4 linked regions of the Arabidopsis thaliana genome follow. The protein of the gene in region 4 interacts with the protein of the main gene of each other region in a pairwise test. Each region holds a gene or a part of one and is shown on either strand. Other genes may lie near its edges.

Region 1 (3,405 bases), on a different chromosome or scaffold from region 4:
ACTAACTTATCTCATAGATATATAGAAAAAAATATATATATATATACAGAGCCGTTTTTTCTTCTCAAAAAACTTAACAATAATAATGATGGAGAAATGAATTACCTTCTAACCAAAACGCTTTTCTAAACTTGAACATATAAGATGGTTTCACATTTAAATTATTTTGCACACTACACCGTGGAAGAAGATGTCATGTCATGCCACCCATCTCTCAATTTGGTTATCTTCTTCTTCTTCTTCTTCTTTTTCTGAATTGAAAGCCCCAAAACATTTGCATCCATTTTGTTTCTATATGATTCTCGCAAACTCATGTGGTCATTTTGTAGCAGCGGGTGTGCATGGAAAATGTAAGAAGATAAGACCAAGTAAAACGCAACAAAACGGCCAAAGGTTTATTGATATTCATACCAGCGATTGGGTGGACCAAACTCAGTGAGTCGTGAGGGGTTAACAGCGTCCATCACATTAGGTATCACAAAAGTCTCAACTTTCATTATTTACGTCATTCTTTCGTTTCTCTGGTAGACGTATTTAGATGAAAGAATGGAGGATCTAAGATTATGAGAAAGGAAAGAAGAAGAAGAATTTAAACCTGTTTTTATCTTCTTGAGAATGGCTTATACGGTTGCTCTTGAGATCGTAAATTAACTGGCAGAGGGTTTGAAAGATGGGAGAGAAAGTAAAGAATCTTAATAACGTGGAAGAAGTAGTTGCTGAAAAAGTGGTTAAAAAAATTTAAATTTATCTTTTGTCAAAAAAGAATATTCTATTGAATAGTAAAAGGAAGTGAATTGGTTTACGATTGTGGAAGTGCAAAATTTTAGACTTAAAGCATACGTGTCAAAATGAGAAGCTTACAGTTTTTTTAAAAGTGACTGTTGATTTAGTATTATTAGATTTAGTTGCCGCGAAAAAGTTTAATATATAGTGTTTTATGTACTTATTATAGGTAATGTTCAAAAAAATAGCCTAGACATCTATCGAACGTCTAGCTACCGTACAACGATTTTTTGAACATTGATTATAGGTAACTAAATCTACATATACATTTTTGCCGCCATTTTGTGAAATAAATCTTAGAGTTGGAACTTATTTATAATGGCTGCCACTAGCTTTTAATTATTGTTTTTTTTGCAATAAATTAATTAACAAGCAAAAAAAATTCCAAATATATTCTAATCCCATATATCACGCAGATTTCTCCAAAATTGAACTAAATTTCGGTAACTATTTAAAACAAAAAATGTTTGACAAACCAAAATACAATTGCAATCCCTTAAAATGAGCAAAATGCACCTAAATACATTTCTTATCAATTCACTAAATCTAATTTCTCCAAAATTTGAATTAGATTTCGACAAATATTTTTAAAAAAATTTGTTTGACAAACTAAAATACAATTGCAATCCCGTAAAATATTTATTTTAATTATATATTTAAATTAACGGTGTACCACTGGGTTTTTTTACGGGACGAGTTTGGCGGAACGGGTTTGAAAGAACGTTACTTAATAACAATTGTAAACTATAAAATATTTTTATTTTATAGATAGATATAATTTGCAAACTTTTATATATACTGATTTAAAAAAATAAATTATTTCTACGGTATAACGCGGGTTAAAATCTAATATTTAGATAATTTTGAATATCCAATATATATGTTTAATTGTTTATAGTAGTAATAATTTTTTTCTGCTATTGTTGTAATAAAAGAAATCTCTAAAACGTTTTAGTAGGAAAGAAAAAAAACGTTAAATGCATAGAAATAAAGTTGGGCAGTAAAAGGAAAACAACAAGACCTAATTAAGTTTGACATATATAACTCAGGCGGCTATTACATCTATAAATATGGGTAATATATCTATCTTGCTTCTACTCTCTCTTTTCACTTTTTCTCTGTGTCTATTTGTCTCTCCGTAAGAAACATTATGCCTTCATCTGATTCCACGATGATGAAGAAAGGAACAAAGCGCAAAATCGAAATAAAGAAACGAGAAACCAAAGAGCAACGAGCCGTGACTTGCTCTAAACGCCGTCAAACTGTTTTTTCCAAAGCCGCCGATCTCTGTCTTATCTCCGGTGCTAACATCGCCGTCTTCGTAACCTCTCCCTCCGATAGTTCCGATGTTGTCTATTCCTTCTCCGGTTACTCCTCTGCCTACGAAATCGCTGATTGTTACCTAAATCGCAAGCCTCCACCCAAGATTGTTAACCCGGCCGGATCCAAACTAGGATTTTGGTGGGAAGACCCTGATCTCTACCATTCGTGTGATGATCTCTCTGAGTTAAGCATTATCGAGGATCGTTTACAGAGAATGAAGAAGCATGTGATGGCTTGCCTTGAGAAGGAAGAAAAATCTCAACTTGTTTCTAGTTTCGACCAAAACCCTAATAGTACTTGTTCTCTCGACGTCGAGGATTGTGATGGATCTTCTTATTCGCAAATTGCTTCTACTTTTACTCCAAACTCTGTCAACGAGTATTGCAGCGATCAAACCTTTTCTTCTTTCCATGGCGATCAAAACCCTAACCTCTCGTCTCCGTCTTTTGATCAGGACTGTTACTCCTCTCTCTATCAGATCTGTGGAGAATCATCTTCACAAGTTGCTTCTTTTGATCAAAACCCTAGCTCCGAGATCCAAGGATTTGAAACAGAGGAAGAGATTAACCAAATCAATCTACTACTACAAGAAACACAAACAGAGGCCAATGTCAATTTGGATGATGAGATCTGCTTTTGGAATGATCTATCCAACGATGATGTGTTTGGTCTAAACAGCTACTTCGGTCTCGATAACACCAATGCAATGATCAACTTCGGAGATTCCGACTTTAGACGTCATGTCTGATATGATGTGGTTGTAATCTTCAGAACTTGTTCTGATTTTGTCTCATTGTAAACAGAGATTCTTGATCCAATTTAAGTTTTTGTAAACCTTTTTTCCTTTATTGTTTGATACTCTGATGTGAACCCTTTCGAAGTTGAAAGTAAATTGTTTGAATCAGTTTTGCAATTCCACTTACTAGTTTGTTGATGTTAAATTCAAGTTAGTGATTTGAATTTGGATTCTCAGAAAAGAAGAACACAGTTTTTGGAGCTTTTGCTTGTAATTTTACATGAGTTTTAGCCTTTAGCTGAACACTTTTTGATTCCTTAATGGTCATCTTGTTAGGTGATGTGTTTGAACTTTGAACAGAGTACTTGAGATTAATTTAAGATTATGTATGTAACGTAGATTAGATGAACATATTTATACCAACATTTTATTAAAAAAGTAACTATAATCATTTTTCGAATTAGTAATTAATTTTATAGTTTCTTTAAGGTAATCATATATTTTACAATTTGTATATTAAAATTAGCAGATCAAACTCTGTTTTTGATAGAGAATAAATAAAC
Region 2 (2,970 bases), on a different chromosome or scaffold from region 4:
GCCAGAGTATAACAATGAGGTTTGACTTTACACTCGAGATATATCTTTCTTTTATGTTCACATAAACTACTTGCAACCAAATTGATGTCATTAGTAGCTCAAACGTTGGGAAATGTTCTGAAATCTACCTGTTCTTACTGCAATGTTATTGCTGCTCTTCAGTAGTTCTATATTCTTGAGCGAGCTAATAGAGTTGGTTATATGTTTATTCGTTTTGAAAAAGGTTAGTTTTAGCTAAGACTTGCATATCTCTTACAGATTTCCTTCGACCATAAAAGTGTCAAAGCAGAGCAAATCCACAGCAAATCCAGCAAAAGTTCCACTTAAGCAAACTACCCTTCCAATGGCAAAAGCTGCCCCACAAGATTCGGTATATCTTCTTGTATCCTTGTTTCTATCTATTGCTCAAAGATTAAAAACCACCACTCTAAATTGCTAAAGGCTGCTTATTTTTTCTCAATGTCGGTCTAGAATCTCTCCGGCATTTTGTTGACAGCCTTGAAAAATCTTCGGACTGATATTGTCAAAGAATCGCCAGATTTAGTCATGGCATATCATATATTCGGGTAAGTTGACGATCCATTTAATGATATTTTCAGTTTCTTTCTCAGATCATAAGTAATAGAAAAATCCTTGTGTGTTTATAGCAATGCGACGCTTAAAGAGATAAGTAAACGACTTCCCAGAACCAAAGAGGAACTCCTTGATATCAATGGTCTAGGAAAGTAAGTATCTTGAAGCTTTTTGAACGCTACTCTCTCTCTTTGTATAACCAAAGGTATGAAGAAAACTCGGGGGATTTTGGTGTTTTAAACTCTAAACAGAGCCAAGGTGAGCAAATACGGAGATCGGTTATTGGAAACCATAGATTCAACCATCAACGACCACTACAAAACCCGTCCCGGTTCAGGGAAGAGGAGAAGAGACGAGAACGTTAATCCGAATGTAGCAGAAGATGATGATCCCGATTGGAGTGCGAGTCAGTCTCACAAAAAGGTAGTGAAGAACAAAAAATAACACGTTCATAAACTTTAAAGGACCCAAACAAACTAAAAAATTAAGAAGCTATAGAAATCATTTACATTTGCAAAAATAGTAATTCAATACCATCTGTCAAGCAACATATTTGCCCATACCGGGGTGTGATTTAGGGTTAGGTTAAATAAACCTTTACACCTAATCCACCATGTCCCATGAACTATTGTTAATATGTCATATTCTGCAACTATTTATATACTCATGCAATTCAAATCATCCTTTCGGTATCACGTGTCAAATTTTCCTCATATTTAAATTTGTGTAATTGCAAAACCCTAGTTTCAATGGGTTATCTTATAATCTCAATTCACGACCCCTAAATGTCTCCACTGCGAACTATTTAATAACCTCTACCAAATATTAGTTTCAACGACTCCTCTGTCCATAATCGCATCTTAGCCACTCGACAAACAGAGGAAAGAGACGATATAGAGTGTCTCTTGTCGCGCAAGAAACCGTCTCTAAGGTTAGGGTTTTGGCATATGAGAGAATGTGAACATAAAAAAAGGAAAAACAAGTAGAAAAGAGTAGTACTCTTATGTATTTTACCAAAATAGTTCCAAAAAAAGGTAATCTTAGGAAACAACCCCTTTGCCAAAAAAAAACAAAAGGAAACAACCCATTATGGAAATTTTCTTAATAGAGAATGAATCAATAATGTAAAAAGTTGAGATATGGGAAGAGAGTACACTAGTATAAAGAGAGGACGATGAAAACAATCTCTGTCTTTCTGTGTAATTAGCTTTCTACAAGTTTCAAACAATCTCTGTCTGTAATTTGGCTTTCTTCCTTTGAAGTTTCAATATGGGAGGCACAAAAAGAAAGATAGAGATGAAGAGAATCGAAGATAAGAACGTGAGAGCAGTTGCTTTCACAAAACGCAAAAGCGGACTCTTCCACAAAGCTTCAGAGCTCTGTCTCCTCTCTCCGGGGACTCAAATCGCAATCTTAGCAACTCCTCTTTCTTCCCACTCCCATGCTTCTTTCTACTCTTTCGGTCATTCCTCTGTCGATCACGTTGTCTCCTCTCTCCTTCACAATCAGCATCCATCTCTTCCCACAAACCAAGATAACAGATCAGGGTTAGGGTTTTGGTGGGAAGACCAAGCCTTTGACAGATTGGAGAACGTCGACGAGTTGAAAGAGGCAGTCGATGCGGTTTCGAGGATGTTGAACAATGTGAGGCTACGATTAGATGATGCCGTGAAGAGCAATCAAAGAGATGGAAGTTTAGTGATTCATCAGGAGGATGAGGAGGTTCTTCAGCTTGGCTACAAAGACACAAATCAAATTACCAAACTCGAAGGTGAAACTTCCGCTTCTGCAAGTTTGTTAAAGAACGTAGTGGATAATCTACACATTGATGATCGTTATTACTGATTTCAACATTGATCCTTTGATTTAACCAACTTACTTAATCATCATGTCTTGTTTATTTAGGCTATTATCTAATCTAGCTGTGCATTATTATTTTTTGGATTTTTTCGGTGTTTTGGTTTGGGAAAAAAAAAAGCTACTAATATAAAACCAAAATTTTGTTCAGTTTGATTGAGACTGAAATACATTTAATTAAATAACAAAAGAAAGGTTCATTGTCGATTTTATTAGCAAACAAGTCAGTTGTCCAGCCTTTGGTATGAAGAAAGGTGGCGATTAGGTCTTTGTACCGTTTCTGATTCTTCTCGAACTCTGTTGGCTCTGTCTCGGCCTCGTGGTGGCTTGGTACAGTAGTGTGTAATTCCACTGGAGATAGAGAAAGAGGATTTGAGAAACTCATGTTGTGTTCTTTTGAAGATGAGTGCTGGTCTCTGTGTCCATGAAGCTAGTTTTCCCATATATTATTGCTGCTATAATCGTAACTAAACCTATCCATAAACTTATCCATTAGATCGCAGGGAATGTTTCATTCTAAGACATGTAACTATTCTTATC
Region 3 (2,731 bases), on a different chromosome or scaffold from region 4:
TTTATGGTTTCTTCAGGGATATGGAGTGGGGGATGGAGGAGTATAGGCGGACGTTGGAGGAGATGGAGAGGATGGAGGCGGCGGAGCTGAAAGAGCTTGAGGAGAAAGCGGAGACTGCTCGGAGAACGGGGAATTTAATGGAGAAAGCGGCGACAGTTGCCGCGAAACGACATATTGCGGCGGCGATGGGATCAGCCGCCGCGTCTATGAGATCAGCTTGGAAGACTGCAGCTGGAAATAAGGTTCATCCATCTTGATCGATGATGATGATGATGAATATGATAAGATGACGATGATTGTCAAAGTATTGGTCCCCATGTTATAGGATTAGTAGGTCAAGAACATTTTAATGAATAATTATTTCCTTTGATAAACATATGGGTTACTACTTACTATTGCCGAAGAATTATGAATTATAGGTAGTTTCTAGTTTATGTATCTGTAATTTGTAATCAATATATATTTATGGGATTATAGGAAGTCGTAAAATGTGGTACTAGTTTATTGGTTTGATGGTAGAACAGAAAAAAAAAAAAAAAAATTGGTGGGACACCTAAAAGTACGAAAAAATTACATAAAAAATATGCGTCATTCGGTTTTAGAAAGAAAGATATGTATGTGATGTTGTTATTCTATTATGCGGAAGCATTAAAGTTTGGGTGATTTAGTGACAAATTTGTCATAGAATCGACACATAGATCAGAATTGAGACAACGAACGAAAATCAACTATAAACCACCGTTTAAGTGCCCTTTCGGTTTCGACAAAAAAATGTGCCATTTCGGCTGATCTCTCGAAGCTTTATCTCTCCAAAATGTTTACATATGGCGCTTATGGAAAAGCAGAAACACGCTTATGTTCCATCAAACCAATAAACTAGTACCACATTTTACGACTTCCTTATAATCCCAAATATACTGTATATTGATTACAGTATACAAATTATTTTTACTCTAAAATGGTGCGTATCACAATACTCACCAAAAGAAAAGATCATTCATTAACACCAAATGATTAACAAATTAACAACAATGCCTAAAATGTCTCCACCGCGAACTATTTATATAATCTCCGACCAAGACTGCGTTGGCAAACTATCCGTCTTCGACGCTCCTCTGTTCATCAGATACCATATTTCTTGGCCCGCAAGAAATTATCTCTAGGGTTAGGGTTTTCGCAGATGGGTCATGGAATAAATGCGGTAATGCAAGAGGTTTTGGATTTGGGTTTACAATACTGTAAAAAAAATTATCTTCGCTCCAAAAAGTGAACCAAATAAAATTAGATTTGTTTGTTTTACTTTTTTCCTCCACGGGAAAGTAAATATATTAGTTCATTAAGAACACCACAAAAGAAAGGAAAAGAGTTCTCTACCTTTGTGTATTTTTTTTTCTAATTTTTTGCTAAGAGATTTTAGGAAAATAGTTAAAGAAAGGTAATATTAAAAAACATCTCAGATTATGGAAATTCTCCGAATATGGAATAAGACCAATAATGGGGAACATGCAATTAATTATGAAGAATAAATAAAATGTACTATAAAGAGAAGAATCTCTGTCTGTCTGTCTGTGTAATTGGGGTTTCTTTCTTGCAAGTGTTTCAACATGGGAGGCAAAAAAACAAAGATTGAGATTAAGAAGATCATAAACAAACCCGCAAAAACGGTTGCTTTCACAAAACGCAGGGAAGGTCTCTTCCGCAAAGCTTCACAGCTTTGTCTCCTCTCTCCAGCCACTCAAATCGCAATCTTAGCGGCTCCTATGACTTCCAAATCTCACGCTTCTTTCTACTCTTTCGGTCATTCCTCTGTCGATAACGTTGTCTCCTCTCTGCTTTATGACCATCCTCCTCTTACGGCAAACCAAGACAACAGGTCAGGGTTAGGGTTTTGGTGGGAAGACAAACGTTTTGACGTATCGGAGAACGTTGAGGAGTTAAAAGAGGCGGTCGATGCTGTTTCGAGGATGTTGAACAATGTGAGATGCCGATTAAATGATGCCGTGAAGAGTACTCAAAGAGATGGAGGTTTAGAGATTCTTCATCATCAGGAGGAGGAAGTTCTTCAGACTCGCAACGACGAGACAAAGACGAATCAAACTCACGAATTTGAAGGCGGCGAAACTTCTGGTTCTGCAAGTTGGTTAGAGAACGAGGATGATATTCTTCACTTTGATGATGATTTTTATACTGGTATTGATCCTTTGTTTTGATCAACTTATTTTATCATCTAATCTATTACTGATGCACTTGTTTGGATTTTAAGAGTGGCACAAATCTACTCAATAATAATAATATACGAAAACTTTTTCAAGTATATAAGATCCTAAATGTTAGTGTACATAAGGGCGAAAGAAGATTACGAGCCAAATCCCTCAGAGTCTTTTTATGGCTTATGAACAGGAAAGAATATTATCGGTCGAGTCAAATCATGGAACCTTTCATCTTTAGGAAGATCAATGGTCCGTTGATATCTCTCTCTCTCTATGCTTTTTCTGGGAATACCTTAAGGAGGAAATCGATGAATCGTTTAGAGTAAAGTGTAGGCTCGATGGCTGAAATTGTCATTGGATCATATTTCATAGATTTGCAAGTATGTTCCACTTTCTTCTTCATGTTGTACTCTTGGAGGATGTCAATGATGCCCATGTATACAACCACATCATATACTTCAAAGAGCTCGACCGTTCCTGATTCCTCGTTGTCTTGGCCGAGTTTGTGGTGGGCTTGAGCT
Region 4 (3,501 bases):
TTTGTTGTTTGGGAAGCTTAAAGCTTAGATTTTTGGGATATAAGTGTACATTGAAATGGTTGAAGATGTGTATGTTGTGAATTAGTTAAATGCTCTGCCACTTTAAGTTAGTGTTTCTTGCGGAATTGTGAGTAGTGACCTCTTACTTTTGTGTCTTTGAGGAACCATGGTCCCTTAGCTCTGTTGCATAAGCAGTTGTTGGTATCTCGCTTGACTTATTACTTCATTTGATAGCTAATAGTTTTGTTTAGTTGCTGAATTTGGTGTATGATAGATATTAAACCCTTCTGTTGCTATCATAACTGTATGATTTGTAATTTTGTTGATGGTTTTAAGTTTATATGTTGATGAGCAGGAGATGTTCATGGTCAGTTTCCAGACCTCTTGCGGTTGTTTGAGTATGGTGGTTATCCACCAGCTGCGAACTACTTGTTTCTTGGGGATTATGTTGATCGTGGTAAGCAGAGCATAGAGACGATATGCCTTCTTCTTGCCTATAAGGTCAAATACAAGTTCAACTTCTTTCTTCTCAGAGGCAATCACGAATGTGCTTCAATCAACCGTGTATATGGATTCTACGATGAATGCAAAAGAAGATATAATGTTCGCTTATGGAAAACATTCACCGAGTGCTTCAACTGTCTGCCTGTTTCTGCTCTCATTGATGATAAGATCCTCTGCATGCATGGTGGACTATCGCCTGATATTAAGAGCTTAGATGACATCAGGAGAATTCCTCGTCCTATTGACGTTCCTGATCAGGGCATTCTTTGTGATTTGTTGTGGGCTGATCCTGACAGAGAGATTCAAGGCTGGGGGGAGAATGACAGAGGTGTCTCTTATACATTTGGGGCTGACAAAGTAGCTGAGTTCCTTCAAACTCATGACCTTGATCTTATATGCCGAGCTCATCAGGTAAAGCTAAAATTTATTCCTTGAGTTCTCTCTTTTGATTTCTCTGGATTGGTTTGTTCTTCTCTGTGACTGTTCTCTGAATTCAGAGGGTTAAGAAATCATAACTCAGTTGTTAATGCAAGGATCTGTAGTTTTTTCACCAAGCCAAGTTTTACTTAACTATACTGTTCCTGCAGGTTGTAGAAGATGGATACGAGTTCTTTGCAAAGAGACAACTAGTGACAATATTCTCTGCACCCAATTACTGTGGCGAGTTTGACAATGCTGGTGCATTGATGAGTGTTGATGATAGCTTAACATGTTCATTCCAAATCCTTAAGGCATCTGAGAAGAAAGGAAGATTTGGATTCAACAACAATGTTCCTAGACCAGGAACCCCACCTCATAAGGTGTGAAAATACTATCCCCCTGTATATAGATGCAATGTAGGTAGATGTTAGATATCAGGTTTGATATGTTAACATTCTTGCAGGGTGGAAAAGGTCGTTAACTCGTCGTCGATGGGTTCAAGAAACGAGTGAAACCGACGGGTTCGAATTTTGTAAGGCAAACAGTTTGTTTTGTTAGATTGTTATCTGTTTTCTTATGGTTGAGGCAACATTATGTTTTGTTTAGATTTTTTTTGTAAAAATTGTGGAAGATGTTCACAGCATTTTCAACTGAAGAAAGTTGGGTTTTATACAACTAACCTTTTAGAAACATATTCTAAAAACATAAACGTAAAATTTATAAAAATAATAAAATGAAACTTGAAAAACAATTATCTTATTTGACGTAATATATACTATAAGCTAAATAATAAGAGAAGAGGTAACCTAGATTTGAGGATAGATACTGCTTTTATCTTCTTCACGCGTCGCCGACGCGTATGCTTGTTCCCGTAGGCACCAAGGCAATCTATATAAACATATTGAGTGAAGTTTCACAATCTTTCACCATCAATTCCACAATTCTGCTTCTTCTTTGTGTGTTATCTCTCTGTCGGAGAAAAAAAAAACCCTAGTTTCTTGCTTGGCGAATCAAGGCAAAATCACGATGAAGCAAGCTTCTTCTTCTTCGTCATGTAATCCAACAAGTTTAACAAACAGACTTAAAACAATCTTTAAGAAAGCAGAAGAGCTTTCGATTCTCTGTGCTATTGACGTTTGCGTCATCTATTACGGACCAGACGGTGATCTGAGAACATGGCCTAAGGATAGAGAGACAGTGAAAAATATGGCTTTGAGGTATAAAGAGGACAGAAAACGCAAGAAGTGCCTCAATCTTCATGAGTTCCTCGAGAAAGAGAAGGTGAAGGACAAAGACAAGTATAAGGGGAAGACGAATTATGTGAAGAACCCTAATTGGTATCCAAACTTTGATCATTACTCTCCTCAACAACTCTCTCAATTGATTCAGTCCTTAGAACGAACACTTTCTACTCTCCAAAAAAGGCTTCGTATTGTTGAGTCGCAGAAAAAACAGAACACAAACTTGGTGCATCAGAGTTTAACACCATCGTATCTGAACCAGACACAACACTTGGATCCTAGCAAGTTCTCGCTGTATATGTACAACCATGGAGATGCTACTCTCTCACAACTCCCACTGTCTGCTTCACAATCCAATCAACTCATCAATTACCAGATGCAGCATGGTTTTGGTCAGAACATGTGTTTGGACAACATCACCAACAACAACAACTTTCAACATCCTGGCGTGTCAAACACACAAGACTACTCACCGTTACTTTCGGCGAATAACTACGGGTTGAATAATCACTTGATGCAGCAACAGGATCAGCTTCATGGTTTTGATCAGAACTTGTGTATGATGAGTGAAATCATCAATAACAACAACGGTTTACAACATCCTAATCTCTCAAACACTGTTCCACATGAATTCCCTTATGGTAACACTAGCTTCTCTCAAGATATGTTTTCGAGCTATGATGGGAGCAGTTTGCTACAGACATCTTCTCTGCCACCTCTCCACAACATTCCTAACAGCTATTGTTTTTCTGACAACTCAAGACTTCTCTGCTAACAAATCTGTCCAAAAGGATTTGTTTTTTGAAGCTTCATTAAGAGTCAGTCAATACTTATAAGTAGGAAGCTGATCAGAGAGAGATTGAAGCTGTTTTTGCTTCTGAATTCTTCCTGCTACTGTCTTTTTTTATTTTACAGTGTTGTTATAACTGTAAAACAGATCCATTTGTGGAGATTTTGTTTTTACTTTTAAGTTGGTATTTCAGTTAGTATTATATATATATATATATATATATATATGAACTTCCATAAAAGTCTTTCACAAAAACTTGCATGAAACAAATTATAATCTAAAATCACTTATGGTGACAAGACTGTTTCAATTGGTTGATACAACCTGCAAAGTGAAATCCTTTACTCTTGCATCTTATAACAAACTTGTAACTTAGTATCCTTCTTGTCTGAATCAGCTAATATATACATGAAGATGGAAAGTAGCTCTGATTTCGTGAAGACAAATTCTCTGCACCCAATTACTGTGGCGAGTTTGACAATGCTGGTGCATTGATGAGTGTTGATGATAGCTTAACATGTTCATTTCAAATCCTTAAGGCATTTG

The links.
Region 1: the proteins of AGL52 (region 4) and AGL39 interact in a two-hybrid assay, tested with the Arabidopsis thaliana proteins (one large-scale study listed by BioGRID).
Region 2: the proteins of AGL52 (region 4) and AGL55 interact in a two-hybrid assay, tested with the Arabidopsis thaliana proteins (one large-scale study listed by BioGRID).
Region 3: the proteins of AGL52 (region 4) and AGL56 interact in a two-hybrid assay, tested with the Arabidopsis thaliana proteins (one large-scale study listed by BioGRID).

The regions. Positions count from the first base shown.
Region 1 is NC_003076.8:9,544,700-9,548,104, forward strand, and holds AGL39 (AGAMOUS-like 39), read left to right. Parts: upstream 1-1,847; 5' UTR 1,848-1,933; coding exon 1,934-2,854; downstream 2,855-3,405.
Region 2 is NC_003070.9:22,429,140-22,432,109, reverse strand, and holds AGL55 (AGAMOUS-like 55), read left to right. Parts: upstream 1-1,748; 5' UTR 1,749-1,842; coding exon 1,843-2,418; downstream 2,419-2,970.
Region 3 is NC_003070.9:22,409,971-22,412,701, forward strand, and holds AGL56 (AGAMOUS-like-56), read left to right. Parts: upstream 1-1,604; coding exon 1,605-2,210; downstream 2,211-2,731. Other genes in the region: MEE9 (maternal effect embryo arrest 9), read left to right, coding at 17-257; AT1G60890 (Phosphatidylinositol-4-phosphate 5-kinase family protein), read right to left, coding at 2,482-2,731.
Region 4 is NC_003075.7:6,847,628-6,851,128, forward strand, and holds AGL52 (AGAMOUS-like 52), read left to right. Parts: upstream 1-1,950; coding exon 1,951-2,940; downstream 2,941-3,501. Other genes in the region: TOPP7 (Calcineurin-like metallo-phosphoesterase superfamily protein), read left to right, coding at 356-915, 1,092-1,304, 1,388-1,405.